Lepisosteus oculatus: one gene and its partner. The protein of the gene in region 2 purifies or fractionates together with the protein of the main gene of each other region. This does not show direct contact. Links are inferred from orthologs where the notes say so. Each region holds a gene or a part of one and is shown on either strand. Other genes may lie near its edges. The genes, in order: dcc and casp9.

Evidence for each region.
Region 1: the proteins of casp9 (region 2) and dcc purify together in Homo sapiens (co-immunoprecipitation; 3 studies listed by BioGRID and IntAct, with this or other methods). This does not show direct contact. The link is inferred for Lepisosteus oculatus from reciprocal best matches to the Homo sapiens genes CASP9 and DCC.

Annotation. Positions count from the first base shown.
Region 1 is NC_090698.1:64,868,946-64,885,488, reverse strand, and holds the start of dcc (netrin receptor DCC), read right to left. Parts: upstream 7,538-16,543; 5' UTR 7,170-7,537; coding exon 7,079-7,169; intron 1-7,078. UniProt on the Homo sapiens protein: Receptor for netrin required for axon guidance. Mediates axon attraction of neuronal growth cones in the developing nervous system upon ligand binding. Its association with UNC5 proteins may trigger signaling for axon repulsion.
Region 2 is NC_090720.1:10,957,051-10,974,467, forward strand, and holds the start of casp9 (caspase-9), read left to right. Parts: upstream 1-10,309; 5' UTR 10,310-10,389; exon of another isoform or gene 10,390-10,656; 5' UTR 10,657-10,657; coding exon 10,658-10,789; intron 10,790-12,266; coding exon 12,267-12,465; intron 12,466-13,141; coding exon 13,142-13,246; intron 13,247-15,650; coding exon 15,651-15,712; intron 15,713-16,673; coding exon 16,674-16,850; intron 16,851-17,417. Other genes in the region: dnajc16 (dnaJ homolog subfamily C member 16), read right to left, coding at 1,264-1,441, 2,224-2,354, 3,776-3,934, 4,505-4,609, 4,861-5,045, 6,045-6,372, 7,515-7,581, 8,620-8,798. UniProt on the Homo sapiens protein: Involved in the activation cascade of caspases responsible for apoptosis execution. Binding of caspase-9 to Apaf-1 leads to activation of the protease which then cleaves and activates effector caspases caspase-3 (CASP3) or caspase-7 (CASP7).

The DNA of each region.
Region 1 (16,543 bases), on a different chromosome or scaffold from region 2:
AAAGCCGGGTGATCCATCCTAGACAAACAGGGTTAAAACCCACTGAAGCTAAACTGGTGTGAGCCTGGTCAGTACCTGGATGGGAGACCTCCTGGGAAAAACTAAGGTTGCTTCTGGAAGAGGTGTTAGTGGGGCCAGCAGGAGGTGCTCACCCTGTGGTCCATGTGGGTCCTAATGCCCCAGTATAGTGACGGGGACACTATACTGTAAACAGGCGCCGTCCTTTGGATGAGATGTAAAACCGAGGTCCTGACTCTCTGTGGTCATTAAAAATCCCAGGGCATTTCTCGAAAAAGAGTAGGGGTATAACCCTGGTATCCTGGCCAAATTTCTCATTGGCCCTTACTAATCATGGCCTCCTAATTAGCCCCATCTATGAATTGGCTTCATTACTCTGCTCTCCTCCCCACTGGTGTGCGGTGAGCGTTCTGGCGCACTATGGCTGCCATCCCATCATCCAGGTGGATGCTGCACATTGGTGATGGTGGAGGGGAGTTCCCATTACCTGTAAAGTGCTTTGAGTGGAGTGTCCAGAAAAGTGTTATATAAGTGTAATCAATTACTATTATTATATAATCTACGTGTGATTTTAGTTCCCAACCACTGAGCTGCTGTTGAGACACAGGGTGTTTTATCAGTATACTTGAATTAAATCTCATATGAATACATCTGATTTGTAGAATTAGAACAACTGTTCATATTTCCACATGAAAATAAAAGTCTTTTAATTAAATGCCACATTTTGTAAAAATGACTGAGATACCCTATAGCTTGCGGGCAGATCATTTGAAATAAATCACAAAGCCACTGTATCTCTCTGCTTTGCTTTTGTGTGTGTTAAGCTTTTAAAACACCCCATAGTCTTCCACAGATGCACATAACAGAATGCTATTGTTCAGCAGAATGACACAAGAATTTGATTCAATGCATCTCTCATGTAACTGAATTTCAGTTTTGTTCCCCCAAAGCCTTTTCAGCAGAGCAGTCAGTTAGACCAATTAAAAAGAATAGGATAATGTTACAGAAATGGCAAACGACTAGCATCAAAAAGCTCCTTGTTACTTTGGCACTGTTGAACCTGCAGGTATACTGTATATGAGGGTTTATATTGTGATAGTTTTCTAATAGAGGATGGCATAAAACAAGCTAACTCCCAGTGCTAAACTGTAAATTCACAAGACCCCACAGTAAGCAGGATGCATTAAATCAGATTTAATCAGATTCTTAAAAGTACACTCAAGTGATAACATTTGTATCTCCCCTATAAAAACTGGAAAGTGATATTATTACATTGTGTTTTGTTTTCTACTCAATTGACTCCTTACATCTTAAGTACCTTACGTGTCCATAGGCAGAGTTCTCGAGTTCGGAGCTGTGCCAGTGTGTAGGCACACTTTATTAAGGAATATGTAGAGGCAGAATTAACAGTGAAAAGTATAAAGAAGAAAAAACAATGTTTCAGTTGTGTGGCTTTCTTGAAATGTGAGCTCCACTGCTAAAGCATTGTTTAAAATACTTTCTTTCTACTTTTCAGCATGGAAGCAACCTTGTTCTCCACACTGGCTCTAGTGGGCATAGGGTAAGATAATGTACTTAAGATCAAGCAATAGAGATATTTCATTTGGATATTATATGTTTTTGGATAGGTTTATGCAGATAGTAACATGTGCTTTATAGTTCCAAATGATGGGATAATCCTACAATGATAAAACAGGATAAAATGGGACACCACCAGAGCAACATGAATTGAGGCATATGAAGTTCCTATTCTCCATACAAATAGACAAAGACACTAAAATAGAATATACTGCATTATCAATATCAATTTCAAAGCCAATATTTTAGAGTCAGCAATTCTCCACATGCACAGAAGATTCGTCTACAATGATGTGTATAAAAGGAATCATATCTAAAAGGCAATTGCGCATATGGTGCCTGACATTTTTTTTCTGGATTCAGGATCATAAATATTAAGTGGCTTCACCACTTTTGCAGTTACAGTATGTCTGCATTCATCACTTGAGATGGGTGTCTTAGGTTACCTTACTTCAAGACTTCAAACTGAGAGTACACATAAACAACAGCATTTGAAATAAATGTCTGCTTTTAAATCATATGCTGTTGCTGTTGTTTTTCTCTTAAGATTGCACACCAGTGAAAGTGTACAAAATATCAAGTAGCATGTCCTGACATTGAAAGACATATTTATTTATTATATATTAAACTAATCAAAAGTCAGTTAATGTATTATTAACTGACTATATATTTTACTGATGTTCTCATTTCTGAATATACTATTGACTTATACAAAAAAATGTTGAAAAAAATCTAAGATCTGTTCCATATCCCTCTTTAAACTGTACTTAGTAAAGGTAAGACCTCTGTTAAAAGCAAACCATTATTTCACCAATATGAAAAAAACCTCAAACAGCCACACATAAAATAGAAGAAGTACATCAGTTTAATATCTACTTAAGAGGGAAGACATTGTAAGACACCACATAGAATGAAGTAAGGAAGGAATGGTTTAATTAAAGCCTTGATTTTCTTCAGTTGGTGTGAATTTTCAATAATTATGAACAGAGCTAAATTAGTTGAATGGCAAACTATTTTCATTTCACCTACAGCAGAGTACCCCGTATAAACAAGCATGTGGTTACTGCGCCCCGGTTTAAGAAACACAATTTCCTTTATATTTTTGGGAGTGGAGCATAGGAAAAATAATGCTGGAGTTTTGCAAATCTTTTCTTTTCTGAAGATTTAAGGAAAAGGTTAATTAACTATCTCAGTTAAAGAGTATGATTTACTTCGGTGTTTTCAGATGTAAGTGTAGCACTACTAGTGTATCTCTTTGTCCACCTATAGAGCAGCAGTAGCTACTCTGAGATACTCCCCATTTACCCACACACTTCTTTAGAATGTAGTATCTGTCAGTGGCAGCAGATCTGTATACCCTCAAGCCTTCTTCTTCTGAACACTGAGCATTTAGTTTTTATAATGAGTTAAGACCACCATATTTGCTACTTAAAAGCTTGCCTTAGTAATCAACCACACTGTCTATTCTCCTGACGTGTATTTTAATGAAATACGAGCAATATGGACAGCATGGTGACATGGAGGCTAGCATTGTTGCTTCACAGCTCCAGAGTCCTAAGATCATTTCAGTACCTACTGTATCTGTGCAGAACTTGCATTTTTCTCCCATGTGTCTTATTTGAGTTTTCTAGGGTTTGTCAGGTGCTCTGGTTTCCTCCCAACTCCCAAATCCATGCAAATTAAGTTTGATTAGCTTTCCAGGAGGGGATTTACAGAGATTCCACACTCAGGGGTGGTTTCCAATTAACAAATATTAGCTATGGGACTACAGTGAAAACCAAATGCCTTCTTTTTTTGTTACCCTTTGTAATGTTCTAAAATTATAACATAGTTTACAGAAACTGGATTAATTAGACAGCATTTACTTTCAGTACTTAAAGTAGAGAACAATGTTTTTGTTTATTTGGTGTGTTCATTACATTTGTCCTGTGCCACACCAATACACCCTGCTGAGTGGTTTCTCATTGTAATTTATACAGGCAGACATCTCATTAAAATGCAGTTGTTGAGTCAGTGATGAGCATCATTGGTCAGGTATCAACCCCGGTCTCATCAGACCACGCTGCTGTAAACTCATGACCTTCCTGGGGGAACCACACTGACATGCATCTCGTAACGGAAATACAGCCTCTGGAGATGCACCAGTGAATCCCATTGTGACTCTCCCAACTTTTAATGGGAGTCTCCTATCTAAGATGCTTGTTGTAGTCATGGTGTTCTTTTAAAAAAACAACATATTATCAACCAAGACCAGGACTTTTATTTTATTTACTTTGAAATGTATCTTTAAGGGGGATAGTGCAGGAAAGTGCATATACAGGTATCTAATGTTAATCAACTATGTAATCTGGCAGCAGGTAATCAATCACTGGTGCAAAAAATGATTAGGGTCCTAGGGTTCAGTTCAAGATTGGGCCTCACTGTATGGACTTTACTCACTGTTCTTCTGGGCTTTTGCCAGGTGCTCTGGGTTCCTCCTACATTTAAATTTGTTGTTTTTTGCATAAATATTGTCAAGATTGAGGTTAACAAAGCATACTGTGCTCCAGTTAAGTTTCTCACAGAGAGACAAATTCTAAAAAGTTCTTGGCATTGCAGATTATGCTGTTTTCTTGCTGCCATTACATAAGCAATAGAGCAAACGGCATTTTTTATAGATGTTTGTTTACAGTTTATAGCAATGTTTCTAGCGTAACAAAAAATCAGCAAAGCTTTGCATCAGTGCCGTGATTAAACATCACCTTCTCTTCAGCTGTATAAGAAAAGTAATACTTTCATTGGAAAACGTTTATTTCAAGTACTTTGGTGATGAACAATTCACTTGAGAACGCCGAACAGTAAAACCTGCATTCGTAAAGCCACTGCTCATTTGCCCCGTGAAATCGATATTGAATTATTGAGTTCGAAGTGAATGCTCTGATTTTGCTCATTCAAACGCAATCTAAAAAGAAATAAGGTGCTATGCTTTTTGTAATTGTATTTTATTATATTAAAGAACGCAAAAAAATGAGTGAGACAGAAAAAAAAGGGTAAGAGAGAACAGAGTAAAAAGTTAAAGAATAGACCATCAACTCAAAATGTACCTTTGTGGAAATAAATGCGAATACCATAGTGCGCTAATGGGGAGCAGCAGAATGTGCTTGAATTCGTCTGGACAAAATACCATTAAATAATAAAGGTTCACCGAACCCGTATACATTCACAAAATAAAGTTTTTATCTTTAAAAATGATAAAACTATACAATTATTTACAGACACGCTCCATGCATTACGTACTGTATGAGCCCCATGGGCTTCACTTACGCAGGGCAAGCAATGTAGGTTTGAAAATGGAGACAGCGAAAAGGAATTGATTTATACTGCACCACTCCGACTGTGTAGGACTGCCCCACTCAATACTCTCCGTAACCTTCCGTGTTCACCGCGGTTGTGTGAGCTGAGGATTTACAGAGACGTATGGCGCTGGTTTCACAACCTGGTGCATTTGGACAATACGTTTCCTTAATGGTTCTTCAATCTTTGTTTTAAGAGGTTGAAGAGAAAAGCTATGAATATAAGTCTGCTCAAAAAGTGATCTACACATACTGTACGGTATGAAGCACTGAGAATAAAAATGCATTTTTGCATTGGAAGTTTGAATTATTGTAATACTGCATGGTTACCACATATCGACAACATTGTAATAGTTAATATGATCATACAGTATGTACAGTAGAAACCGTACTTGTCTTCTTAGATATCCTTTTTATTCGCCGCTCACACACGTTTGCATGGGACGATTACAATGTTTCACTGATTTTTTAGATTCCCATGGCAGGCTTTTCAGCTTGAAACTTGCTACCACGTCTTGCTAATAATTCGCATGTTATAGTAAATGTCCCCCGCATCGAATAATTTTCGGCGCTCTAGCACTAGAGGAGAATACTAATATACCACATTCACCGTGACAGGTTGCGAGCGGATGTTTTATTGGTGCAGTTTACAATCAGCTATATTGAGGTTCACAAACTGCACGTTCCTCCTAAGAAGAGAGTATTAATCAAACTGTTAGGTGATTTATTTGTGGAACTCAATTCGGTCAAAAATGTAAACATTATGTGCACTTTATCTTTTAGCACGAACTCCGCGTCCTTCAACGCAAATCTAAAGCCATCTAAAAGTGCTTGCATTACAAACAGAACACTTACAGTTTATTGCATGTTGATACCAAGTATCAGCTAAATCATCATTATTATTAATAGTAATATGACCTAGGATGTGAAACAATAATAACGATGATTATAACGACACCCAAGACTACATGCTTAGTGAAGGTTCTAAGTAGTACTGTAATTCGTTCCAATCTCTTTAAATCAATTCATATCATTAACTAAAGCGCTATGACCCGCTCCGCGCACCTTAAGTATTACCTCTGAGAGATAAAAGTCAAATATTTAGTGTGTAGTGGTGTACATGAATTCTACAGGAGGAATTTCTTAGCATATCTTCATTCATATTCATTCTCGCCTTCTTAAAAGCTTTTATTCGATACAGGCAAGTGGCGATACTGCACTTCTAATGCATCCAAACAAAATTTAGCAGATAACTATGCCTAACAGCAACCTTATTACTGTAGGTACCATAAAAATAAACGAACCTAGAAACGTATAGATTAACTGATACCTAAAAGGTTCCGTGTATCACAGACACACCAGTATGTGAGACGTATTTACAGGTATGCACATTTTTCGACGGATTCTGAAAGGCTTTTGTTAATCACCGATACATTAAATGCTCTGTTATAGTTAGAATGCAATCCTAAATTAAGTTTATGATATACATTGCACAAAAGTGCATATGATTCTTATTAAAATTTAGCATACTGAAATGTATTCTTTGTTCAATGTAACTTTTCCAGTATAGTAATAGATTGCTACATAAAAATTGATGATTGATCATTGGAAAACCAATGGAAATAGTCATTAATTTTTATAATTTGACACAAATACATTTGGATTGCGGAATAAACAAAACAACTTATGTTCCACCCAGTGAATAAGTAGTTCAAGTTTGTGCAGATGAAACATCTTTGTAAAACAGGTTAAAAAAACATGACCAAACTACTTATCTCTGAATCTCATTAGTCCAATACTCTTCTTTTCGTGATTTAGAAACGGTCCACAGTAGTCAGACAAGAAGATACAAAATGAAAAGCGGCGATGAAAACAAAATCACGGAAGGTAATGAGAAACATTACTTCAAACTGAATTTATTTTTAAGGAATATCGCTTTCATTTTTTATCGGGGTCTACCCTACAATGTTCAACCATTCTCACAATTTTTACCATTCCAAATAAAACGCCAACCATGGTATAGTTTAGCTGCACTGCCCTGTAATTACTTACCCTGTCTTGTGGTTTTAAGGTGAAGTTACTTAAACATTAAACAAAATATTTTGTGCCATCCCTATGATTTTGAATGCAAAATCAAACTATCGACTTACCGTAAGACTTAGTGTCGCATCTGAGAAAAGATAACCACAGCAGCACAAAAAGAAGCTTTTTCAGCCCAATAAATCCAATAGTATTCTCCATATTTTCGCTTTACCGTTGAGCGGTTCTGTCCCACAATCACACAGATCCTTCTTCCAAACGCAGATTTCTCGAATTCAATTCATGAGCATCAGAAAGAAAGGAAAACCGACACCAAAAGCCAATGGATTTGAACAAGTCTACAGAAGTACGTTTCTCTCTCTGTGCACTTCCTCTGAGCACAGCCAAGTTTGAATCAGATGCGTGGCTGCTCCATCCTTGCGGTGTTCCACGAGCTGAGTAATAAAATACGCCAGACAGACCCAGGAAAGGACCGGCGAGGTTCACTTGTTACGGGAGCTGTCCACTAGCACTCTTTGAGCAGGGAGTTGCGAGATGTGAATCCATTGATCTAAAGGGGCTGGAGGTAAAGAACGGTGAAAACTCCAGCTGGAACGAACCGAAATGCAACGAAACACATGTATTGGGGGGGGGACAGACGATCTTTCAGCAGGCTTTGCGGGGAATCACTGAGCTCGCTTGCCATCTCTGGTCAGAATGTGAATTGTTAATGTGAGCCATATTCAATCAACGAAACAACCAGGCTGCATGCATCTTCCACCTTTCTGCAAGCTTTAGTTATCGGATTCTGTTAAGTGCACTGCCCCGGCATGTACAGTACAGTAGTGGCTGTATTGACGCTGGTGTTTTGACCTCAAATATAGTAATAATCACTTTATTAGCATTCTTTTTGGTGAATGTGTATTGTTCAGTGTAATATTCGGAATTATAATAAATTGCTTTAAGGATTAGCCAATAGTAAAATACTAGAGTATACTGTAAAAAATCACGAGATTAAATATACTACCGCTGTTGCTACAAATATATAAATATATCCTAAATTAAACTTGTTCTCGGGGATTCGAGCGCTGGAAAATAAGCACAGCATAATCCGTATTTGTACTATTTTTTAATGCGTTAAAGAGGCAATGTGACAAACTGTTAGACTAAAACTCCAACATTGTTCAAAGCCGTAAGATGGTCTGTTATTTTTGTTTTAAAAAGCGAACCTGTCTTTCTAAAACTACTACTGTTGTTGTTACTGCCCTATCGATAATATTATCAATAGTAATTTTCAGGGATCATTTTATGCAATTTAAGGAGATCTTATTTGATCTGAAATGTATATATTTTGCATTAGTATGAATGCGTGTTTTTATTAATTTGTGTACTGTGTCATTTACGTTTTGAACTGTCATAAGTTTAAACTTTTACTACTAGTGGCTGGTTATAAAGTCTTTCTGGGTTAAATTCTTAAGATTTGATTGCAGTGCTTTATTTTGCCAAAGTAGGACAAAATAAGCAACAGACCACTACATCTTCGTCTTTCAAAAAATCGTTAAGTTATCGTTCTTATCGATGAAACCTGTTGCAAACATTTTTCTATGATAATGTCTACATGATAAATTTGAAACTTGAATTACCAGAGGTGTGAGAAACAGCTTTAGGAATTACAATTAATGAACGGTACATACGTACCTGTTACAAAAACTACCCATTATACAGTAGATTTAAATCAAGAAAATAAAATATTACAATTAAATACATGTGAACAGCTAAAACTTTGACTGGATGCCAATTGTTTTAAAAAAACGTCGTGTTTGGTGAACACGCACAGAAAAAAATATATATTTATACAGTATGTAGCAATTTGGTTCAGTGGACTGAGCACGTTCGAGAAGTGACGTCATCTTCCATGAAAACCTAGACAGTGTCGAATTCCCTATCTATGGCGCATTGTGTGCTGGGGTCCTGGGTTCAATTCTGGAACTTGGGTGTTGTCTGCGTAGAGTTTGTATGTTCTCCCTGTTTTGTGTGGGTGCCTTCCTGGCGCTCTGGTCTCCTCTCATAGTCCAAAAACATATTGGCAGGTTACTTGGCTTCTGGGAAAATTCGTCCTAGTCTGGCTAGTTTTTGTATGTGTGTGACCTGCAATGGACTGGCGTCCTGTCCAGGGTGTAACCCACCTTGCAGCATTTGCTTGCATTAATAGGCTCTAGTTCTCCCGCATCCCTGTATTAGATAAAGCAGCAAGAAAATCGACTGAGTGCAGAAGACCTGGTCTTTAAGTACAATTTGTTTATTTCTGTGACAAAAAAACAATTGTACACTTACATGAATATCATGAAATGCTAGTTATAGTAAATTGCAAGTAACTGCTTGCCAGAACAATTATTGTATATTCATTATACAAGTATGGTAAATAAAAAAGAAAAACAAACAGACATGTTAAGGCAAATAAATCAGTGTAAGTAACCATGCTTAATTTATTATGGCTTGCTGAGTTTGGCTTAATATAAAGTCTTTGAATATTTCTGTCCTTTCTTACTAAGACTATACTGGATGTTTTAACTTAAACTTGCCAAAACACTGTAGTGTGCTCTCTGAAGACACCACTTCTGTAGGGTTTCTGCATTTACTGGGACAATTATTAATTGTAGCAGTAAATCACAAAATGATTCTTTTGATGGCCTTAGAATCCAACCATGCGATATAACTCAAACAACGCACACACACAGGTACTAATACACGAGGATACATTAATTAATACATATAATATGCATGTAAACTTAACAGATCTTATCGAGAGGGTTATCAGAATACAAAAGGTATATATTCAGTCAGTTACGAAGTGTTACATATATCAAGAGGACATACGTTCAGTACATCATTCATTTAGACCGTTTGGTAAATGAACTTGGTTATAACTTCTACATTAGATACTCAAAACAAGTACATAACTCTTAGGAATTAAATTGATATCAACTGGTTGGGATAACAATTTAATTCTCAAGCTGTAATGCATTGAAGTTGAATACTCATCCAATCTCTGGGGATTCAGATCTCCTGCGGGCACAAAGAAACAGTTTCAGACTGATGCTGTCCAATCCGCGCTCTCTGGCTCGGTGCCAGGCTGTGCTGTGTGGCTTGTGACAGTGCGCTGCTGATGCCCACTGACCGGCTAGTTAGTGTTGGCTTTAACTAGCAAAGTTTGCGCACAGGAGAAAAGATTACTGTGGGTCCCAGCAAGTCAGGAAGAGGACCGGTTCGTTCCTGATGAAGAGCTAGTTCTGAATAGTGATTCAGCTGTCCACAGTTCTGACCTGTTCACGAGGCCTGCTGCTGGTGCTAACCTCGGGTGGATCCTCTGGTTACTCTCTGGCAACCTCCGCTCTAGACTCTTAGAACAAAGGAAAGGCCTGGCACTCGGACACACTGGCCGTTCCGTGGTTGTCCGGGCTGAGTCTCAGGATGGTCAGGAGGCACGCTGCGAGAATGTCCTGCCCTTGGGAGCCTTCTGCTCCTGGGCCGTCCTGCCCTGGAATTCTCCTTTGAATTCCCTTTAGAAAAGTCCACAGAATAGTCTCTCAGGCCCTCTGTGTTGCCTGTTTTTACCTGGAGGAACTTCAGCTCGTTCATTGGCTGAAAGTTTCATGGGCATCAGAGTCTCACGTGGGTTACTCAGCCCTACCAGTCCCAGACTGGTTGATCAAGGTGAGATATGAGTCACTTACTCCTGAAACTTAGGAATGCAGTCCAGATGTCCATCTGGCACTCCCTAGACAAATAGGCGCCAATGGATGACCATTGATCATGATAGCCAGGCTTAGCTAAGTGCATTCCTATTTGGGAGCTATCCCTTATCAAAAGAAAACATCTTTAAATCAGCCTGCATGAATAGTTTCTTTGTGGCTGCACCACAGAGATGAACAGAGAGATGAGGCCTCATTTGGGAAAGCACAGCAACACTTAATTCTGTCTTATTAACAAGCATTGCCGCTACAACACTCAAGCAGATATATGATTCAATCTAAACAAAATGCCAGGATCGGTGGACTCTTATTAAGATTTAGTTTGACATGTTTTTTGTTTGCTCATTTTTTGAGCTGTGAGAGCTGTGTCAGTGGGCATTGGCTTCAAAGGAACAAGAAAAGGTTAATTTTTGCACGAGAAAAAGAAGAAATGTGTTCGTAGTTAAGCCTTCTTTCCAGTGTCACACCTGTTTTTCTGAAAAAGAAGTCAAACTTTTATTTTGCAAATCAGTACCACAGTTGTCCAAATTGTCATAACAAATCCCCCTTTTCACTTTATCATGACACTGTGTTATATAAGTTGATTATAATTACCGTATGTCTTAAAAGTCAACTCATGAATCAGCCACAGGAATTGTCAGCAGCACTGAAGAGTGGGTGATGATGGTAGTGTATAAACTGGAGAGTTATACAGTAGGTTCCTGTCCAGGGAGAAATTCAACTGTTGCTTCTTTAGGCAAGTGTTAATTCTCTGTGGATTGAACTCCAATTCTTTATTAGAAAAACACCATATTAAATACAGTAATAATAAAAAATAAATGAAAATACAAAGCATGTAACCACAGTTCATCCATAGCCATAGGTAATGATGTAATAGTCCTGTCGTTAAATTTGGGGTTCTGGGTATACACACTATGTCTGGAGTCAAACTACTAACTACAGTCTACTGTAATATAATATACAATCATACAATATAAGCACAAACAGATCTGGGCAAAACAATGAATGACTCCTTTCTGAGTCAATGCTCCAGGTCAGAAGCAAGAGAACATAATTACATTGAACTGATCTTTCATACAAACATAAACACGATAGGTGGGAAAGGGGGACTTGGGTAAATTTGACCACAGTGTATATGAGTTAATTTTTGGAGGGACATTATAAAATCTCAATTTCAGAAAAGTTTATTTTAAGGGAATGAGACAGTGTTTAAGAGAAGGAGATCGGGGTTGAATTAGTTCGGGAAACATTATTATTGGAGGTACATTACAAATCACACTTAAGAATTACATACTGTAACACACACTGCTGTTAAAGCTTAAGCAAACAATACAATATCCATACATACTGTATATGGTCATAAATTAGTTAACTAAATTGCCATATAATTGATTGTTAGTACATCACTGACTACAAGGTTATTATCTCTGTATCCATGTTCCCTTTGTATATTGGGGGTTATAAGGGGCTTATACATGGATTTTCAGTCGTTTATGCATAATATAGTCTTATTTAGAATAAGTAGACGAAAGATGCATACATTTTAAAAACATATTTGAAGGCACAAAACTGTTGGACTAAATAGATAAATGGAACAATCAGAACAAAATGTGTACAAAATAAATCGTTTTAGACAATAAGGAGTGGTAAATAACTCTGAATAATTATTTTGAACTATTACTCAACAATACTGTAGAAAAAATACAATTTAGTTTAAAATCTCAGAATAACAGAGGATGAAGTGTTTGATCTATAAGAAGTTAAAACAAATCATCTAGGCCAGATGGTATTTTCTCACTTGTACCTAAGTTATTCATAGGCAACTAACTACAAGATTTCATTTATTCTCAGTGCAGGGGTTGTGCCTACAGCCTGCTAATTGGAAAATCTCTAATGTGTTCTTTAAAAACAAAACAGCACAAAATTCAGCAAAGAAATTTCAGACAAACAATCTTACTTTGATAACATCTTAAGATAGAAAAAAAATAACACAGGTTAATTCTCAAAATAAAAGTTGTGTGAATCCAAGATAATCTACAACCAAGGGTTAAAGAACTATGACATATTCAAAATCTATACTGCTGATATGGGCATTCATGAACCCAAATAGAAATGATACTTATGAACATTTTTATGACAGAAAACAGAAGGAGTGTTTTTGTAGGACCTACTGTGACTTATATTATTCAGATACCAGAAACCAAATGAGAAAAATGAGCTTGAAAGGCTTCTTCTTGTTTGAAAACCTTTTCTGAATTTCATATTCACCATACTGAGCTTCAGTGAAGATTCCAGGTGAACTAACAGGTTTCAGAGAGGAGCTGCTGTGTCTCATATGTGACACTGAAGAGTCAGAGTGGGGAAAAGTAATTTCACACACTAGTGTACCAGCAAAGATGTAACTACGAAACACAATCAGAAAATAAAATATTATAAAATCCACTTGGTATAAATTACTTCCAGGTGAGCTTTAAACTTCAATACAGTATACTAAAATTCAGTATATCATAAAACACAAGTACTACTGTACATCAAAACTAACACTTAAAGCCCATAAAACATTCTTTCTGCTTATAATGATTATTGAAATTATTGTAGTCTGCAAAGTCAAGACTCTCACATGCCCAAACCTAGTAAGTAGTGTTCAAATAACTCAAAGGATGATGAATATTCTCTACTTGAATCACTGAAACTTTAAAGAAGATAACCCTGCATTTTCATAAAGATACGCAATTTCAGTTCATTCAGTGAAGACTGAAGGAAAGCAAACCGTGATACATACAGCGCAAGCAAGTTCACGCTGCTTTAAAAGTTGGCAAAAGTTATGCATTGTTGATAATGAGATTAGTTTGTGAATCCAGCTAACCCCTCATTCTATCTGAGAAAACAGACGAGTTCATTTTCATATCACAGGTCAAGAGATATGGTTTCAGAATACACAAACAGACTGAACTGTTTTCCAAGAACTAGAAAAATTGAAAACGTTGAAAAAATATGATTGCAGCTTTGTTTATCTGAGCTCCTGCAATATTCAACAGCTGAAGAAAATGAACTACCACATACTATCTTTTCCACTGGAAGACAAGTTTTTCCCAAATGAATGCTTTTGTTTCTGACCCTAGTTGCATTACTTCTCCATTGTTATTTGAACCAAATGGAAAAATCTAGTCTCCACATTCTTTGTCCTACATTATAGAATGAACATTATTATTCCTAACTCCCTTCTGCTTCTACATATCCTTCAGACATTTGTTGTATGCATTATAAATGTCTATATCTCTCCTTAAGAGTAGTACGCTTGTATTAGATGATTCTTGTTTCAGTAAACATCATGTCACGATCAGAATCCCTCCTCTTAAGGACGCTCTGGCTCTTTCGTATTTTAGTTGACTACATGCACCTGCCTCCTGTTCTGTCTCCTTATTTAAATCTGGACTTTGGACTGCACCCCCGGATCTTCCCTTGGACTGTTTGAACTTGTTTACCATCGCCATGCCCCCCGAGTACTGGATCACCACCGTCATGCACCCCTGTCTGTTAACCCATCCTGATCCTCTTCGTTTCCATCCCTAATGTCCTTCTCCACTTACTTACAGATTATACCATCTGCATAGGGCCCTGAACTACACATCAAGCAACAAAACAAGCATGATAAAGCAAATGCTCTATTTAGTCTATTTTCTTTTTACAGTAAAAACTTTTTATAGGTACAAGAAGACTGAAGTTCACTAGATTATGAACCAGAACTACTGAAGAATGAATCTTGTCAAGATTTTATTTTTCCTGATTATTGAGTGCATCAGAAATGACCAATGTTAGCAGAATCAAAATGTGAGAATCCAGTGCATCAGTCATGCCTTTCCTGGTGACTACTTTCTGATAGGAATGTTACAGAATATGTACTGAATATAAGACAAAAATCGTCTAGTCTGTTTAGTGAACACCTTCAACATTTTAAATATCAAAATTTCCATTAAACATAACTTTTGACCAATATTTACCTAGGAAATTCATAGCCTGTGGTCAGATTGTTCCTTTTTTAAGACCTTGATAGTATTTGTCTTATAGCAATACATACTGTACAATGGATCATTGAAAATATTGAAGAAAAATAACTTCAGAAAAACATGTCACTTATCTGTTTTCTAGTTTAAATTACTTACTGTAAATGATTTAAGTGACAAGCAACACAAAAGTTCTAGCATGAAAATATTTTTTCCTCTAGCACCTAAATGACCCCTTTTTGCTTAAGATGCTATTAGAATGCTTTTATAAGTAGCGCTGAAGCGTAATTCTCCTTTTTGTTGTTATCTGAAAAGTTAATGTTGTCCATAAAGAGACTTAGAAACAGGCATAGATTATATTTGAGATATAAAGCCTTCCAATAATGAGGAAAGGCAATGCATGATTATTCTGCTTTTGCACAGACGATTTTGACTCCATTAATGACCAAATTCAGACAAATCAAAAGAAATATTATTTGTTACAATGAGGGCTGGATATTTTCCAATTTCTATATCATTAGCAAGCACAACTTATGAATAGCTTCTAATATACAGTATGTTCCACAAGGAAGCTAATCTACTGATCCTGTTGCCATTGTTACATCTTTTTAAGCAACGAAACAATATTCATGTTTTTAAGCATTTTCACTTACTGGTAGTCTAATTAAGTCAGGTTACCACAGATCAAATTTAGACAATCATTGTGTTGTCTAGCACACTATGGAGTACATAAAGGAGAGGATAATAAAAACAAAAAGAGATAATTAACTAATTGATGTAAATTGCATGATTATCAGGCTGAAAATTAGCTGAAGGACGAAACCCAAATTAGAGATGATGTCAATGAGGTTATGTAGTCCTAGAATTCTGTGTTTGCTTTTTTGTGTGTTATGTTGGAGAACAATCAACAGAATGGGTACATACAGTACATGTTTTATTTTATATTGTGAGATCACTGTCAATAGGTTGAACTACTTAACAGATGCGCTAAATGTTTGCATTAATTCCTGTTGAATTTCTGGGAAATAGTATGCTTTCTTCCGGGAGACAATTTAATGCACTTTCATGTTAAAGCTATTACTATTACTATTAGACTGCTATTATATTTTACATGTCACCTTGTGCATCTGCAGAAATAACATACATTACAACCAAACTGAAATAGTGTGGCCTTCCTGGCTCCATCTTTTCTTTACATACTAGTTTTACAGACCTATGTACAGTATATATATATAGAATGAAGTGGGTTTTCTTTCTTAAATACTCCACTCCCAGAAAAAAAGAATAATCACACTTGTCATAACAAATGTTCTTTTGCCATTTCTTTTAATAAATGATAATAACACCTGCAAGATAAAATAAGGTTTCAGTGAATTTTGTTTTACGAGTACCAGTTATTGTTTTCTGGTAAGGAAGGCAGAAAATAATCTTATACAAATTACAGAGGAAAGTTCAATAAACCTAAAATAATGCAGGTTTACATTTAATTTAAAATCACCTCTAAATTTACAGAATCATTGAAAAGTATCTCATGTAGCTCAGTAATATTACAGTCCATTTTTTTCATAGACAGAAATAAAAGTTCTTTAGCATTAAGTTATATGTTTTTACAACAGAAAAACTAAATTTATATTTTAAGTAAAAAACTGCATGATTTTACAAAGCTGAGAATATATATGAGCAGTGCACACAAATGTTAGAAAATAACTGACATTTCACAGACTTCTATTGTATGTGGATCGAAATGATTCTTATATATACTGGTTTGTTAAAGTAGAGACTTTGTCCCCATTAAAAGGGAACACATTTGAAATTCATATTATGTCTTATTATATTGCCA
Region 2 (17,417 bases):
CGGCGATTGCATATTGGATCTGCGTCTGTGGCTGGAAGGTTGCTGGTTCGTATCCCGCGGCCGGCAGAGGAATCCTACTCCGTTGGGCCCCTGAGCAAGGCCCTTAACCCCAGCTGCTCCAGGGGTGCTGTATAAATGGCTGACCCTGCGCTCTGACCCCAGCAAGCTGGGGTCTGCGAAAAGACAAATTCCTAATACAAGAAATTGTATATGGCCAATAAAGTGTTCTTATCATAATGATCATTATGACCCTCAGGGCCATCAGTAAAAGCAAAGCTCCCTCACTGGTGTGCCTTACTGCACACAGTGGACAGTGGAAGCTTGGTGCACTATGACCGAAGCCACACTGCTATCATTTCAGAACATACTAGACATTTTGGAGATTTAACGGGGTTCACTGCAGTGAACATGTTCCAGAAGTGACATCACTGGCTTCAAACCAAGGCAGTGGAGAATTCTGCTGTGGCAGAGGAGCTGGTCTTTGGCTCTTTAACAGTGGAGTTTGCTGCGGTCTAGGCAGTGGTGCTGCTTCCGCTCGGAGCCTGTGATCAACCATGGCTGAACCCTGACACGTTGCAGAGCTGCACACGTTACAAAGCCATCACACAACACATGCTATCTGGCACTGTGCACTGTGTACACAACAGCCCGCCCATCTCCAGTCAATCCTAATCCTGCGCCGATCACGCACCAATAATGAGACAGCCATCAGAGTGAGATGGTTTATCACACAGCACACTTTTATCACATACACTCATGAGGGCTACCGGTTCGCCAACTTGACTTCTTATCTAGGCGCCGTTCGATTTCATCATGCGTTTCTCAGCCTTCAACAGAGACGAGTAAGGCCGATTCACATAGCATAATAATATTCTAAAACAGAAATTCCCGAGTGGTTCATCCATGAATGGGCTCCACTAAGAGTTGTCGACATGATCTAGGGAGCATTGTTTTGAATCTGCTATACGCTAATAATCAGTAGTGAATAGATTCTCAAACAGCTGACAGCGACTGGGGTTTGGGTAAGTACACTGTCAGTCCCCGTCTTGTCAAGCAACCTGCAGTCTCGCTGTCTTATTAGCAAGAACTGCATCAGGAGCTCAGCTGTGTGTAAAAAGGTGGCCTGACACTGTAAGATCCAGAGCAATGTGTGCAGCCTCCTTCTTCCTTGTGCTGGGATGACAGACAGCAGGTGCCAGGCAGGTCACAGAAAGCACAAACTGTGTAACAACTGAAAATAAGGTCATGTCCAGGCGTACAGACCTGAGGGGGGGCACCGTCCCTGCCCCTCAGCAGCGCGTCACACAGGGGCTGCTGCTGTTTCTGGTAGACGTAGGCAAACCGCAGAACCTCCTTCGCGTTGGCAGAGGCAAAGGAGAGAAATTCATTGTAGCCCCTGGTGAACGAGTCCCCTTCACCAGTGATCAGCAGGATACAGTATCTACAAAATTGTGTCAAGAAACAGCCAATCAATTGAGCCCGGCGTTTAACCTGTTTTTATTAAAACAGCATGCATCGTGACCTAAATAAACAAAAGGCACCGTTTATCTGCCACATCAGTGTGCAAATACATTCAACACTATAATATTATTAAGCTCTGCATAGACAAATTCTATTTTTTTTAGCAAATGTCTCTTCGTAGGATAAGGAATTCTTTCCAAACAAACTTTGGAATTACGCACCAAGCATACCAAATCAGGTATTTGCATCTTTTATAAAAAGTAATACTTTTACTATCTTTAATCATTTAAAAAACCCGATCTGACTGAAAACCAGTGCATAGTAATTGAGTTGCTTGATAAAGTCCTAAACAAGAAGGGGGGCAGTGATTCACAACTTCATTTTAAGCAGAATGTTGGCATCAAAGCACAGAATAACAGCTGACTTATGGTACCAAAATTTACATCTATGAAAATAAAAAGAAACTGTGAAGATGCTCCTAAATTAAAATGCAAAAAGCAGAACACATTTAAAATTAAAGGGTCACAATAATTTTAGACAATTAAAAAGTTTTAAATCTTTCCATCTCTGTTCATCATCATAATCATCATGGAATAAGCTTGTATAAGTTAAAACCTTGAATGGCTGTGAGATAACAGCATCACTTTTGCATAGCAAATAAGAAACTTTATCAACTCTGTTTTGTTTTTTTTTTCATTTACCAGACATTTAACAAACTCTTGGCCTTGTGAATGCTTTAAAGCTAATAAAGGTGATACTTACTTTCTCCGTCTGTGGAACTGCTTCACAGGACAGAGCTCGTCAAACAGCTTCTGGTTCACCAGTCGAGGAACCAGGAGAAATCTGTTGTTCGAGATGAATTCCTCGATGATTTGTTTCTTCATCCCTCTAGCCTGGCAGACAGGAAACACAGATGAGAGAAGACAAGATTAAAATTTGCAAAACTTTTCAGTGTGAAGAATAATTAGGTGGGAAATGAAACACCTGCTGACAGGGGCCTGCTTGGTCTGAGCTGATGGAAAACAGAAAGCAGGAAGTCAATAATACTGGCAAGCACAAACAGCAAGTGGAGAATTAATATATGACACAATATATTTTCAAACTAGGTGATACCCTTAAACATGACATACTTTGCACGGTCCTTATAGACAACAACGTACAAGTAATTTACTGCTTGTGCATCTGCACTAGTCTTGCTGAGATGACTTGATGACAGAATCGGAGATGTTAGAAAACAACACGTCTCTCATCCTGTCCCTCTTCTGCTGTCCTTAACAGCAGAGAGAGATCAGGTCAATACGTTTTTCAAACCCTTGCCGGCTTTTTTCCTAATCCACACTGACAGTTCTGACAGTGAATGTAGCCAGCCATTTCAGCAAATAGTCAAGGATTTCAGAGGATAATGTGACTTTTTTATTAGGTCATTTGTAGACTTTGCCATTAGAAATAACGCATGCAGTAAATATTAACAGTCCTTGCAACTATTAGAGTTATTAAACAAAATCCATCCATCCATTTTCTAATCCAATGCAAGGTCACAGGGGGAACCAGAGCCTAACCAGGCAAGCAGGATGCACCCTGGACAAGACGCCAGTCCATCGCAGGACACACAGACACAAACACACTCACACCAGGGATGATGTTTAAAGAAGCCAGTTATCCCAGAAGCATGTCTTTGGACTGTGGGTGGAAACCAGAAACCCACACAAATACATGAGGGACATACCAACTCCACACAGACAGTAGGAATTAACGCAGTGCTATTAGACTTAATCTTACTCCATGTTTTCTACATGATTTCTTTTCTATATACTGTACTTTGCTGATTAGCCAGGGCTGGTCCTCCCACAAGTTACAAGGCCACCCAGTCTAACAAAAGCAAGCCTCATACAGTGAGCAAAAGACTAGGTACGTTTCCTCCCGAATACAACTGAACCTAGAAAGGGAGGGTGTCCATCCTCCAAAGGGTGCTATTCATCGATAATACCATATTATTGATATGAATAATTATATCAATTACCGTATATGTAATAATAACTTATAACATACAATAAATTAATTACATATGAACAATATGATATCAATATCTTGTTATTCATACCAATAACCTCTGACAGCTGACAGATCCTACAGGACATTATTTGGAGATAAAGGCATTCAAAAATAAAAATAAGTCTTTCTAGCTTTCTCTATGGGTGAAAGTACATTGACTTCACTGGTCAGATTTCCCAACACTCTCATGTATCAGGCGTGAATTAGCACCAGCTAATATCCAGACTCTAGATTGTGGTGGCAATACAAATACAAAACGTACCTGAATGACATCGGCTGGTTTCTCAATGTTCTCCTTGAAGAGGAGCATGGTGGGGGCGTAGCTGTTGATGTTGAACTGTCTGAGCAAGCTCTCAGTCTCAGACAGGCCTTGGTCCACATATCCAAAGCGGACAAAGTCCTTGTAGGCAAACGCCGTGAGCTGTGGGTGAAAAGCAGGTGTCAGAAAGGAAACCAATCACTTTGCCATCCAGGCAAAGTCTTGAATTGCAGCAACCTGAAAACAAACAGTGCCTCACTCATGTTTTATTTTAAGAAGGCCATGTCATCAGTAGTTAGCACTAGGAACACACAAATCAATACTCAACAGCCCGGGGAAGGATTTTGAAGTTGCACATAAAACAACACAAGGATGACTTTATATAAAGGCCTATCATTTTTTGTTTTGCTAAGAAACAGTCAGACTTTACACAACATACAGTGAGAGGGTGGTCTCCCAGCGTTTTAACAGGGCTGATCAACCCCACTCTGCTGTCTCTGGTTTGTCTAGATGGCTTGATCTCGTATAGACAATTTAAAGAGAAACCACAGACCAGCTGCTTGAACGCATCCTCCAGGTACTGAAATGCAGAGTGTGTTTGCCACACCAACACACTTCCTCACTGAACATCAGGTTGTTGCAATTCAGTCTGGAAATTTGGACAGTCCCACTTATACTATTTCATCTCATGATGTTTAGAGCTATGATTACTACATAAAACACATTATTTACCTTGTACAATAAAGGCACCACAGGTACTTGATCAAACAACAGCACATGGGGCTTGTTCTCTTCATACCAGCCATTCAGGAACTGGAGGTAATTTTTACCTGTTACCTACAAGCAGAGAGTCAAAAACATCAGCACAGAAGATGAAGATCTAGACATCATAGAAGGAGGCATACTACACATATATAAAACACAATTCTTAGAAAGAGGCTTTAAACAGGGAAACGTCATTTTCCGAGATGACACTACTGGTTGGAGCTTAGTGTTCTTCTTCAGTCAGCTGTAACCATAACTTCTACTTTTTGTTCCAAGATGTGCAACCAATCGGTCTAGAATCTGTATGCTCTTGCTGCACGTACCTTCTCTACCAGTCTCTGCGGCAACAAGTTCTCCACAAACTGCCTCAGATGCTCCCTGACCACGGCATAGTGGAAGAAGGTGACTTTCCCGTTGATGAGCCCCAAGATGGATGGGGTACGGTGTGCCCCCAAGTGGTTGGCCAGACGCTGCTCATAACCGACATCTACTACGCCAATCCCCACACCTGCAGTAAGGAAGCAATGACCCCATGTGACCCACCAGCATGGTTAGCAGGTTCCTTTTCATCAGGCGACTATTTTAGACGTCAATGACTTTGGTTGGCCTCCCCCCCGATTTGGAGAGAGTCTTTATTATCCCCGGGGGGGGGCAAATTGTTTTACAGCAGCAGTGTTGACGTACAGATGGAGAGAAGGAAAAAACAAAACGACAGGAACAACAATATCCATACATATTTACCTAGAAGGTCAAGTGTTAAGTAACGATATGGCTACAGGTATGAACAAGAACTTGAATCTGTTGGTTTTGGAGTTGGGGAGTCGGTATCTGCGTTCTGATGGGAGTAACAGGAAGTTATTAAACAAGGGGTGTGAAGGATCGTCACAGATTTTGCTTTACGCAAACCACGTGAATGATAGATGGAGGAGAGAGCTGGAAGATCAGCACCAATGACCTTCTGGCATATTTTCACCAGGCTGCCCAGTTTGTTCCTGCTTCTCAATTTCAGGTCGCCAAACCAGCAGATGAAATCAACAATGAATCATCGACCTTAAAGTACTTAAGCTTCCGCAGGAAAAAAAGACGTTGTTGACCTTTACTGAGGATCAGGTCAGTATTGGCTTCGAAATTAAGCTTGGAGTCCAGGACAGTCCACAAATACTTGTATTGTTCTACCAGCTCCCCTGAATCTCCCCCGATGTAGGTCAGGGTGGGAGTGGGGGTACTTTTCCTGAAGTCAGTTATCATGTCTTTGGTCTTGGACACATTTAGCTTGAGGACGTTCTGTTCACACCAGGTGGCAAACTCATCAACGATGGGTTCGCGACTCCACTCGCTTGCCTGCAGCAGGCGATCACTGACAGAGTCGTCTGCCAATCTGATTCCGTGTCTCGAGTGGTGAGAGCTCTTGTGATGGTTTGCGAGAAGAACCAAGAGTAAAGGAGACAATACACATCCTTGGGGGGGGGACCCAGGAGAGGAATGCTTTTTGTGGGTTCAAACTTACCCAGCGCCTCCAGCTCCTGCACGGTCTCCTTCCAGACCGGCTCGATGTGGATGCAGGTGAAGCACCAGTCCGAGGTGATCTTGATGAGGTACGGCCGCTTGAAGCTGTCCGGCACGATGTCGTTTATGTACTGCGTGTAGTGCAGCGCGTACTTGCTGTCGGCAAAGTCCCTGCTGCCTTTGTTGAAAGGGAACTGGAAGAAGGACTCGTCGAAGTAGAAGCTGTCGTGGAAGTGGCGGAACTGCTGTCGCTGCTGGGCGTAGGGCTGGTTCTCGTCCGTTTGCCCAAAGCGGTCGTAGTTCGCCCTTTTCTCTTCGTTGGAGAGAATCTGGGAAGAGATCGAAAGGCATGGGCGCCACTTGGCACAGGTGTTCAACGATGCCTTTTAAACATCGTCTATCTGTTCTATTTCTTTGGGGATCTGTCAGAAAAGGGTGAATGCGAGGAAACGCGCCGACTTTCAGTAGTGGGGCTACCTTCGTTCGAACAATGTGTTGAAAACTGAGCTAAAGGCTAACATGACATGACGAAGCATTCCTGCTCTAAAATACAAGACATTTTCCTTGACCTGGTCCTTTGAATTGCTTCGGTAAACTGTATGCTGACATGTTCTTACTCCGGTTTAATTAAAAGGTGCATCGCGTCTAATAATGTTCACCACATTACACATGGGGTTACAGGCATTGCCTTTGCCCCAGTACTCTTTCACTGGACACTGAAAAGACGTCTTGGTGTTCACCTGGATGGGAATATCTATAGTGCATTTTAGATCATTTGTGCATAAGATCAAGGCTCATTAATATGGTTGACTTTGTATGCAATTCCTATTACATGAACCATATCACTGTGGTTAAAAGCCATCAACGTGGCTGTTAACAAGCAGCACGTGTTCTTGTCCGCTTGTTCAAGGGCCACTAATCAGGGATGTCTTCCCTCAGCTCATTGGAGATTCCAGGCTATCAATGTACTACTTCCCATCACTATAATCGACTTTCCACATTATTTTAAATGTATTGAGAACAATCACTAAGTGCTTCCTTGGTCACCATTTATTTTAAACCAATTCCATTCACATTATTCCCATAATATTTCAAAATAAAACTTACAATAAAGACTACCTTTAGCAAACCCAAGAACATCTGACGTGAACCCGATTCTTCTGCTAGAGTTGCACCAAGACAGCTATGCCACCGCACTGAATGAACCAGGTTCATAATATCTGGGATTCCAGGGCTACAACTACATAGAAAAACAGTACCACTGGCTTAAAGTGTATTTAAAGTGTATTGACTACATTTAATCAATATCCAAATTCACCCAATTATCCAAAAACTCAAATGCCACTACACTACCTGTAGCTATAAGGAAGATGCAATCTTATATCCGGTAGTTTAGATTTAGTTTTGTCAGACAGCTTATTTTAACTTCCACTCAAAAGTCATCAAGAGAGAAAATGTTAAAGGGGATTACCTCATAGGACTTTGTGATCTTGATAAACTTATCCTCTGCCTCTGGGTTTTTATTCTTATCTGGATGCCTTGAAGGAAAATAAAAAAAAATAAGTTGTACTGAGGTTTATTGTGGACGTACTTGTAATGACACATTAAAGACTTCCTTTAACCAAAAGTATTAGGAATGTGAGAAAAGCCATACTCAAGCCACAATTTCCCACTGAGGAGTCTTTGAAAGACAGAACTGTCACAGTGCAATTTAATCACTGTGACCGCAGCAGCAGAATATATTTCAGACTTACTCTTGGATACTCTCCTTGAAATTATCTTATTAAATTGGTGTCACACAAAATACCCATTTTTTTATATCTGGCTAAAGTCTGCCACTCTCTCGACACTGCAACATGTGCACTTATGAAGATTTTATATGTGGTATTTTTTAATATTTAGGTAGCCAATCAGGTACATTTCAGGTTTCAGACACAGCGATAACTGCTAGATACTTGTAATCTGTAACTGACATTACATCTGTAAGTAGTGACAGCAGCTCTACAATAAAACCTCCAGCCACACAAACGTTAGATCCTACAGGAATATGCTTTAGCAGACTGCAGACGTCTGTCATCCAGGCAGTGGATAGAAAGTCCAGGCTTTAGAGAGATAGGATGGACAGCTGTGAGTCACAGTGGCCCCGGGCTCTCATCTGTTTGTTCATAATACTTTTAAGAAGCCCAATCACCTGTCTTTCAAGATCTAAATCGGCTGCTGCAAATTCTCCAAGAATCTGACTCCTGCCAACTGGAGTGCCCCATGTCAAAGTTTACTGGGCAGTTCAGCGTCAGCAGAAGGAAAGGACCGATCTGTTCTGTTCAGAGCCCAACAACTGCAAGAGGCTCTGTGGCTTTCTGTGGCTCTCCACAGGGACATGAAAGGAATCAAAGCTGAACAACCTGCCAAAACTGACACAACAAGGGTGTATTTCTATTTGATGGAAGGGACCTCAGGCAAAAAAAACCTCTCTCTCATTAAATAGGGAGTCTGTATTTTACCATTGGTACTATACATTGGTCGAAGATATGAGCGAATTTAAATAAGCAGGAATTCTGATTCTATCTGCTTCTCACCATTCTTTGGCCAGGCGTTTATACACCTTCTTGATTTCAGCCTGACTGGTGCTCCTGGAGACCCCCAGAACCTTATAAGGATCAAATTCAGCAGCACTCTCCACAGAAGGACTGAACAGCAGCAGGCAGAGAGACAGAATAAACAGCAGGGTCAGGAAAACCCCCTTTAACCAGGTCATCTTCTTGTGGCTGAAAACACAAGGGAAAGAGAGAGAGTCTGATTTGATGCATCCCTCTATCCTCTGTCAACAGCCACCTCTTCCTGAGAACACCAGATCCAGTCACAGACGCCCAGGGTGAAAGACAGACCCACGCCTTGGATGAGACAGCAGTCCAGCATGGGACAGAGAGACACAAGCACACAGGGACATTTTGAGATGCCAATTTACCTAGCCACTGCATCTCTGGGATGACTGGATTATCCGAAGCACAAGGAGAAAAACTCTCCAACCATGTCATGGAATGGGAATATTCAACCCATTCCTTATGGCAAAACTGGATCAGTTCTGACACGTTCAGCAGTGATCACTGATCAACTTCAACTGTTATGGTTTGCTTTAATGCTTAATTCCTGCTTTTCTGGGAAGTTTTGGGGAACTCGTTTTTGAGTGTTCAACTCAACTCTTATGTTTAAGGTTGGGTGGCTTTTTGGTGGAAAAAAGCAAAGTCCCCTGCAATATGAACTGCTATGAAACCTAGCGTTTTTAATATTAGACTTCAAAGACGGTAGTCCCCCATGTGTTGATTGGTTAGCTTGATTCGAATTTAAAATCCCGTTCATTTTAATATGTGATGAGAGGATATTTATAAACAAGAAAAATGTACATACAAATAAAAAGGTTGTCTAATTTGACCTGACGATTTTACCATACATTCCGTACGACTAGAAATTATAAAACGTAATAGTTTAATGCCTCACCATATTTATAATAATAACAGCCCAAAACGCACGACCTTACAGGACAGAAAACTCTGCTGAACTGAACACAAGATCTCCCGTGGTTTAAAAGACTCCAAACCATTTACAAAGTGTAATCAAATACATTTCAATACCTTGAAATACACTTCTTTCTAGGGACAGTAGGCAATGTAACACTGAACTACCGATACAGTTTCACAATGTCAGGACATTAACATAGTTTTCAACTTAGACAAAACTAAAACGTGATTCCGCACAACACAAAAAATAAAAGCACACGATTTAAAAAGACGTTTAAAGTAAACGACGGTACCACTGGCGAAAGTAAGCATTTGGGAATTGCGGTTTTCTGTTTTCGTAGCCCTCGATTACAACACCGGACGAGTGACTGCTTGGGATATTCACATTACGACCTTCAGACGACAAAATAAAAACAGCATTTTTATGGTATGACCGACAGCTCTATAACGCACTAAACCGAAGAAATGCATTTAACCCAAAATAGAAAATAAAACTACTTATTCCCCGGAGCAGTTGTCAAACCTTGCAAACGCACCACAAGCAAATCGCTGGCTCAGTCGGTCCTGATCACCATGCCGTTACGCACCCTCGTCCCTTCTTCTGTTTTCTATCAAAATTCGCTCACGGGTCACTGCAAAAAATCAAAACACCGGCAATTTACTACAAGCATCCGAATTGCACGACTACGTTTTTTTAATCAAAACGCTTCCGGTCAACCGGCGTGATGACGTCATTACGCACTGGGCGTGGTTCAGCCATGCAAACACGGAAGAAAATAAAGGATGCTTTTGGAAGACGGCAAGAATTATTACGGAAGAACTTAGGAAAATGTAAAGAACGTTTTAATATGCTTAAGTGGGGTTAAAGGTGCTTGGCTACTGTAGCTTCGGTGAAACGCCCCTTAGTCTGTTACTTTTCTTTTCGTATACGATTGCATGATGGAATTTCCTAACTTGAACAACTAAATTCCTGATTTCGGCATTTCGCTTTCGTTTCGGTTAGGATGTAGTTAGTGTTCGACGTCCAGTTTAGGCTGAACTGAGCTCACGTTAACAGGTTAAGAGTCTTAATCCGCCCCCTCGGGCTCTTGTTTGCAGAATGGATGGCAGGCACAAGAAGATATTACAGAGTAATCGATCCATGCTTGTACAGCAGTTGGATCCCTCAAAACTGTATGATGGACTTCTGTCAAAGGGCGTCTTCACTCAAGACATGATTGATGAAATACAGGTAGGCCTTTAACACACTCAACTGGCCCATTCACAACCACATTTTGAGGTGCCTCGGTTATAAAATAATTCCAACACTGCTGGGAACGTATCCTTGAGATATTGGCAATAACCAATACATTGGATTAAATAATCAGTGTCATCTCCTTATTTTACAGTTTTCACAGTGTTTTCTTCATATGCACCTTAATTTATGTACTCTCTGGAGGAATGTGTTCTATTGTTACAGAGGGTCATACAGTAACTAACAGGAATCTGCAACCTCTGTCATAGAGCAGCCACTGTCCTGCTGGTTTCCATAGTAGCTTTAAATAAAAGTAAGTAATTAATTGATTGAGGACAATCAGAGTATAGCAAAGGGTCTAAAAGCATGTCATTACTGGCTATACAGTATATAAATGTTTTTGTAATAATATTCCAGAGATCTGCACAAATAGTCTTGAAGAGCCACAATCTCTCTTTGTTTGAAAATTATATTGAAAGGTGCTGACCCATATAAAGGTCATTATTATTAGAAATAGGAGATGCAAGATCTCCAAGACAAGATGTGTAGATCCCTGGAATGTAATCTCAAATATATATAGTCAGTAGTGGAATAACAGTTGAGACATGTTGCCTAACAAAAAAAAACAATAGCCTGAAAGGCAGTTCTCTAATCCTTTTTGGTAGGTTCCTCAATAAACAGGCAGAACAAACTAATAAGTATAGACCCATGTCACCTCGATTGAACCTGATCAGTGCACTATAGCTGTGTAAGTGCCCAGTTCCTTGCTTTAGTCATTGCTACTGACAGGGATACCCAAAAGACTGTGACTCTTAAGACCAGCTAAAGGTTGCGCTTCTTTTGGAAGAAGAACACACCCTTTCACAGTCCTAGGTCTTATTAGGACAACATGGGTGGAGTGGTGGCTCTGTGGCTCAGGATCTGTGCCTGTGGCTGGAGGGTTGCTGGTTCAAATCCCGCTGCAGGCAGAGGAATCCTACTCTGTTGGGCCCCTGAGCAAGGCCCTTAACCTCACCTGCTCAAGGGGCGCTGTACAATGGCTGACCCTGCGCTCTGACCCCAAGCTTCTCTCCCTGTCTGTGTGTCTGTGAAAAGACACATTCCTAATTCAAGAAATTGTAAAGGCTTAATAAAGTGATGTTATTATTATTATTATTATTATTATTATTATTATTATTATTATTATGATAGCACCAAGTTGGAAATGTTTCAGCTTTTTAAAATTCCAGGCATGTGTAATTTAATACAATAGTTGGTCCACATTCTGTCTGATAAATGTCCTCCACAGAACAAGCAGGAAACTTTCAGCACTAGGTTTTGGTTTTTACATGAAAGACTGATCAAATCTGAAACAGCTCAAACTGCAACTGAATGGGAGTCTCCTCCATGTCACTGTGATCAGAAGTGTGACGCAGGCCTGCAGCCCGGGGGCCTGTAGTGAAGGAGCTGCTGTTCTCTCTCGTGTCCCCCGCAGAGTGCCGGCACGCGTCGAGACCAGGCCCGGCAGCTGGTGAGAGATCTGGAGACCCGAGGCAGCCGGGCCTTCCCAGCCTTCCTGGAGTGCCTTCAGGAGTCCGGGCAGGGTCACCTGGCGGACGCCTTGCAGAAGGGGGTCAAGATTCAGCCACCTCCACCTGTCCCGGTCCAGCCTGTTCCCATCCCTGTCCTAAAGTGTACGTGCCAAGTCCAGTATTTCTATGATTTGTCGCTCGTTCTGTTTAGTTCTTCTTTGTTTTAATATTGCCAGCAGCCATATCACCCTGCGACTCACAGCTGACAGCCCACTGAAGCTCAGCAGGTGTGAGCCTGGTCAGTACCTGGATGGGAGACCTCCTGGAAAAGACTTAAGGTTTCTGCTGGAAGAGATGTCAGTGGGGACAACAGCAGCTTGTGTGGGTCCTAATGCCCCTGTCACTATACTGTAAACAGGCGCCGTCCTTCGGATGAGATGTAAAACTGAGGTCCTGACTCTCTGTGGTCATTAAAAATCCCAGGGCGTTTCTTGAAAAGAGTATGGGTGTAACCCCGGCATCCTGGCCAGATTTCCCCCTGGCCCTTACCAATCATGGCCTCCTAATAATCCCCCTCTATGAATTGTCTACATTACTCTGCTCTCCTCCCCCACTGATAGCTGATGTGTGGTGAGCGTTCTGGCGCACTATGGCTGCCGTCGCATCATCCAGGTGGGGCTGCACACTGGTGGTGGTGGAGGGGATCCCCCTTACCTCTAAAGCACTTTGAGTGGAGTGTCCAGAAAAGTGCTATATAAGTGTAAGGTATTATTATTATTATTATTATATTAAGAAAAAGTGCCACGTACTGTAACGTGTCTGGTGTTTTATTCAACAGATCCCGATGGAAACAAAGAGATACCCGATAGAGGAGACATACCCTATCATCAAGACAGGCCTACACACAGCCCAGATAACGAAAACTATATGACAACCAGCTATCGTAAGAAATGTTCTACGGTGTTATGATATACTGATGGAAAGGTGCTCTCTTTCTACTAGGAAAAGTTATAAAGTTTATAAGGTTATAAAGCTGCTTCAACTATAGAACTGCAGATCCCTTTTTTTAATTTAATTGTAGCAAGTGTTAAATTGCTCTAAAAATACAAAGTTTTTTTTCCGTTAACTAAATCAGCAACTAATTTATTTTTTACTCAAAGCACATTTTGGAGTAGAGCCAGGTTTACTGTTATTTACTTCAATTAACCTTTTAAAGGTTCATCAAAGATTACCATGTACTGAGCATGCAAGATGTGCTACATTGGAAGAGGTGTTAGTGGGGCCAGCAGGGGGCGCTCACCCTGCGGTCCATGTGGGTCCTAATGCCCCAGTATAGTGACGGAGACACTATACTGTAAACAGGCGCCGTCCTTCGGATGAGACGTAAAAACGAGGTCCTGACTCCCTGTGGTCATTAAAAATCCCAGGGCGTTTCTCGAAAAGAGTAGGGGTGTAACCCTGGTGTCCTGGCCAAATTTCCCATTGGCCCTTACCAATCATGGCCTCCTAATAATCCCCATCTATGAATTGGCTACATTACTCTGCTCTCCTCCCCACTGAGAGCTGGTGTGTGGGGAGCGTTCTGGCGCACTATGGCTGCCGTCGCATCATCCAGGTGGGGCTGCACACTGGTGGTGGTGGAGGGGATCCCCATTACCTGTAACTAGCTTTGAGTGGAATGTCCAGAAAAGCGCTATATAAGTGTAAGCTATTATTATTATTATTATTATTATTATTATTATTATTATTATTACATTCTATCTAGCTGAGGAGCTGTCTAACCCTGGTCCTGGTGGGCCAGTGTATCCTAACGAGCTCATGACTGTCTTAATTGGACCAATTTAATAGATTTATCAGCCATCTCTTTGGGTGCTGCAGTTTTAATGACACTTAGAAGACCTAGGGTATAGACACACCAGTCCGCCAGGGCCAGGATTAGACACCTCTCATCTGAAGAGACAAAACAGCTTTCAGTGATCAAGTTTTTCAAGGGAGATATTGTCGCATACACAATCCTCTGACAGCTGAAATATTCTGTTTTTTCCAGGACATTTCACTTCTTTCAGTGAATATCTGGAGAAAGTAAGGCTTCTGCTGTGATGTTTTTTTGCAGATGAAGCTTTTTACACCACACAACTGTTAAGCTCCAATATCCACCTCTTTGGGGGGAATTAATTGATTTTCTGTTAGGGTCTTCAGTGACATTACAGGTGGTACCGAAGACCCTAGCTCCATCACTGTGTTTGTATACATTGTATATAGTACCGACCTGTCTTTGGACCTACCTAGATGCTGTAAATGTCATGGTAACATACATTGTAGTACTTAGAATCACTTGAAGAAACTATGCACACACTTGTTGTGTGATTGGAAGTGCTGTAAATAACTCTTCAGCACTGCACTAAGATGCAAAGACATAAATAGTATCCTAAGAGTAGCATTATGTGTTAGTTGTGTTGTAACAGACAGATAAGTTCTGGACCCCGAGATGAAGTTGAACAACTGAGTTAATTGCATGCAAGGAACAATAAGATCAAAGAATTGTTCGAAGATATAGGTACAAAGCTCCATTTTATGTAGCAAACTTCAGCTGTTTCTGACGCAAATTGTTACCATGGTAATGGGGGGAGGTCACCTGTGTTAGGACTTTCCCAAGACCTTAAACACTTTGAATGGCCAGTCTTATCTTCCCAGAGTTAGGGAGTCTCTACCTCGCACTTGGAATCTCTTATCAGTTCACTCCCATCCCTGCCATAACTCAGAAGTGCTTAAGCATGGAATGTCTTGTACCAAAAGAAGTCTTTGTGCAGAAAGAAATCAGTTAACCCTTTTTTCACATCTTATATCTTCCATCACAGTTGTTTCTGGGCATTTTCTGGGTTGATAAAAAGATCTGCTGCACAGATGATATTTTAAAAATATGACAAGAAATGGGGGCAACAGCACACAGAGAGCTCAGCCTTGTGGAAGATGCTGTTCCCACCTCTATAGTTACAGTTTCTGCCATCAGGATTTATCCCACTGGAGGTCTACCAGCACGGATAAACTGGGTCGAGACCTCAGCAATCAAACACACAGCCCTGCTTGCCTGGTCCTTCTATGAAATCACAGTCTATAAGTATGTCTGGGACATCTGTGCAGTGCTAGCTTTGTACTGTAAGTTGACTTTCCTGGAAACCTCAGGACACTGAACCTTCTTGTGCTCCTGTATTCACACCCCTAATTTAAAAAAACTGTGGTATCTAAACCACCACCCAAAACACCTTTAAATAGGGTGATAATAATATCAAGCTGAGGGTCTTTGTTGTTTCAGAATGTAATTAATAAAGGCTTATCTCTTGCCTTAGCATCTCAAAAGGATGAACTTGATCCCAAACCACAAGGGAGACCAAGAAGCAACAGCCTCCAGGTAATTAGACCAAACCACTGAAATACTAATTATTTACACCGGGGTTATGGTTGTTTGCTTGTCTGTTCGTTGTGATATATTGCGATACTGTGATAAAATACCCTATTTATAGTTTAGATCAATTGTTTTGTGTTACTTATTCATATTTTAAACCGTTCAGCTTCCCAAAACATTTGACCAATTGACAATCATCACAAAGCGCAGAAAGCCTCTAAATGAGAAAGGTGTCAAAGTCATTTCAATGAAACACCTTTAAAAGCTGAGTGAGTTGTCAGAGTATTTTGTGTGCGAGAAAAGATGTTGAGAAGTATCCAGCCAATTTCTGGGACATTTCCACCTATTTTTTTCTGTTGATCTGACAGTACACCTGCACTTTTGGAAGACAATTTTGAGAGAATGCTGTATATAAAAAAAAAATTCAGACCTGTTTCCAAATCTGTTTCAATTTGGTAAGGCAAGACAGTTTCACTGAAATTCTTCAGTATCCTGTGCTCCAGTATTCATTTATAAGGACGTTACTGCGCCATCTTGTATTGGTACTATAGTTCATGCTCATTCTATGCAAAAGGTGTACTGGTACAGAATACAGCATAGAGGTATGACACCGGCTGTTCTCAATCTACAGACTTTAAAGGCAGTCTTTGTCAGCTGCTTTAATAGCCTTGGTAATCTAAAATTACTGAAAGGCATCAGAGTTTATTCATCCACGGTGAGATATGGACACTCAATAAAAAAAATCAGGAAACAAAAAGAGATCAGAAGGCAAACAAACCAAAGCTGCCTTCAGCCAACTGAGGCAACTGATGAAGTAAGGCTTAAGATTTCTTGAGACTTTCAGATGAAGGTCCTTGTACCTATGTGAAACTCATATATTACCATCAGTGCGACTTTTTTCATCTGAATGTGTTATGCCTTCAGTATGTACTGTAAGATAAATACACCCTCTCATGCGTGGTTTCAGGTGTACAAGATGGATCACAACCCGTGTGGGCACTGCCTCATCATCAACAATGTGGATTTTGAGCGTCAGTCTGGATTAAACAATCGCACAGGATCCGATATTGACTGTGACAGACTGGAGAAAAGATTCAAGGCCTTTAACTTTGTTGTCACTGTCAAGAGAAACCTAAAATCGAAGGTAAATTGAGAAGGCTTGCATATAGCCAACTGTATTGACAGTTTTAGCAAAAAATCCTGCTGCATGGATAGCCTATGTAGCATCTGGGATGGGTGGATGTTTGTTTCCGAAACATTAGTTTTTTACGGGACAGGGTTGTTAGCCTTGTGCCCAACCTCCAACATGGATTACCTGCCGCCCGACGTGGGACATGAACCCACTACCCTGAGATTATGAGTCTCACACTCTACCAACAGAGCTAGGGCCCCCTGTAGCGTTTGGGGTCATTGTTTATTATTGCGTGTTTATTAAAAAAAAAACAGCGTGTTTTTGAGTGGCTCATGACTGAACAAATTCCTCCTGCGCGGTACCTAAAAAGCAACGAGCAACAGCAGAGTGGTAGGACCCCTCCATCCTCCTTTCCTTTTGAATAATTACTTTTTCAACAGACCTGTTCCGTTTCACCCCAAATGTCAATGATTTGCAGTGCAAAACAATGCAGAATTTGAAGAGATGATATCCTTACCTGATGTATACCCATTTTTTTTAAACCTACATTCTTCTCATCTCACCTAGAGCGAGTGATTA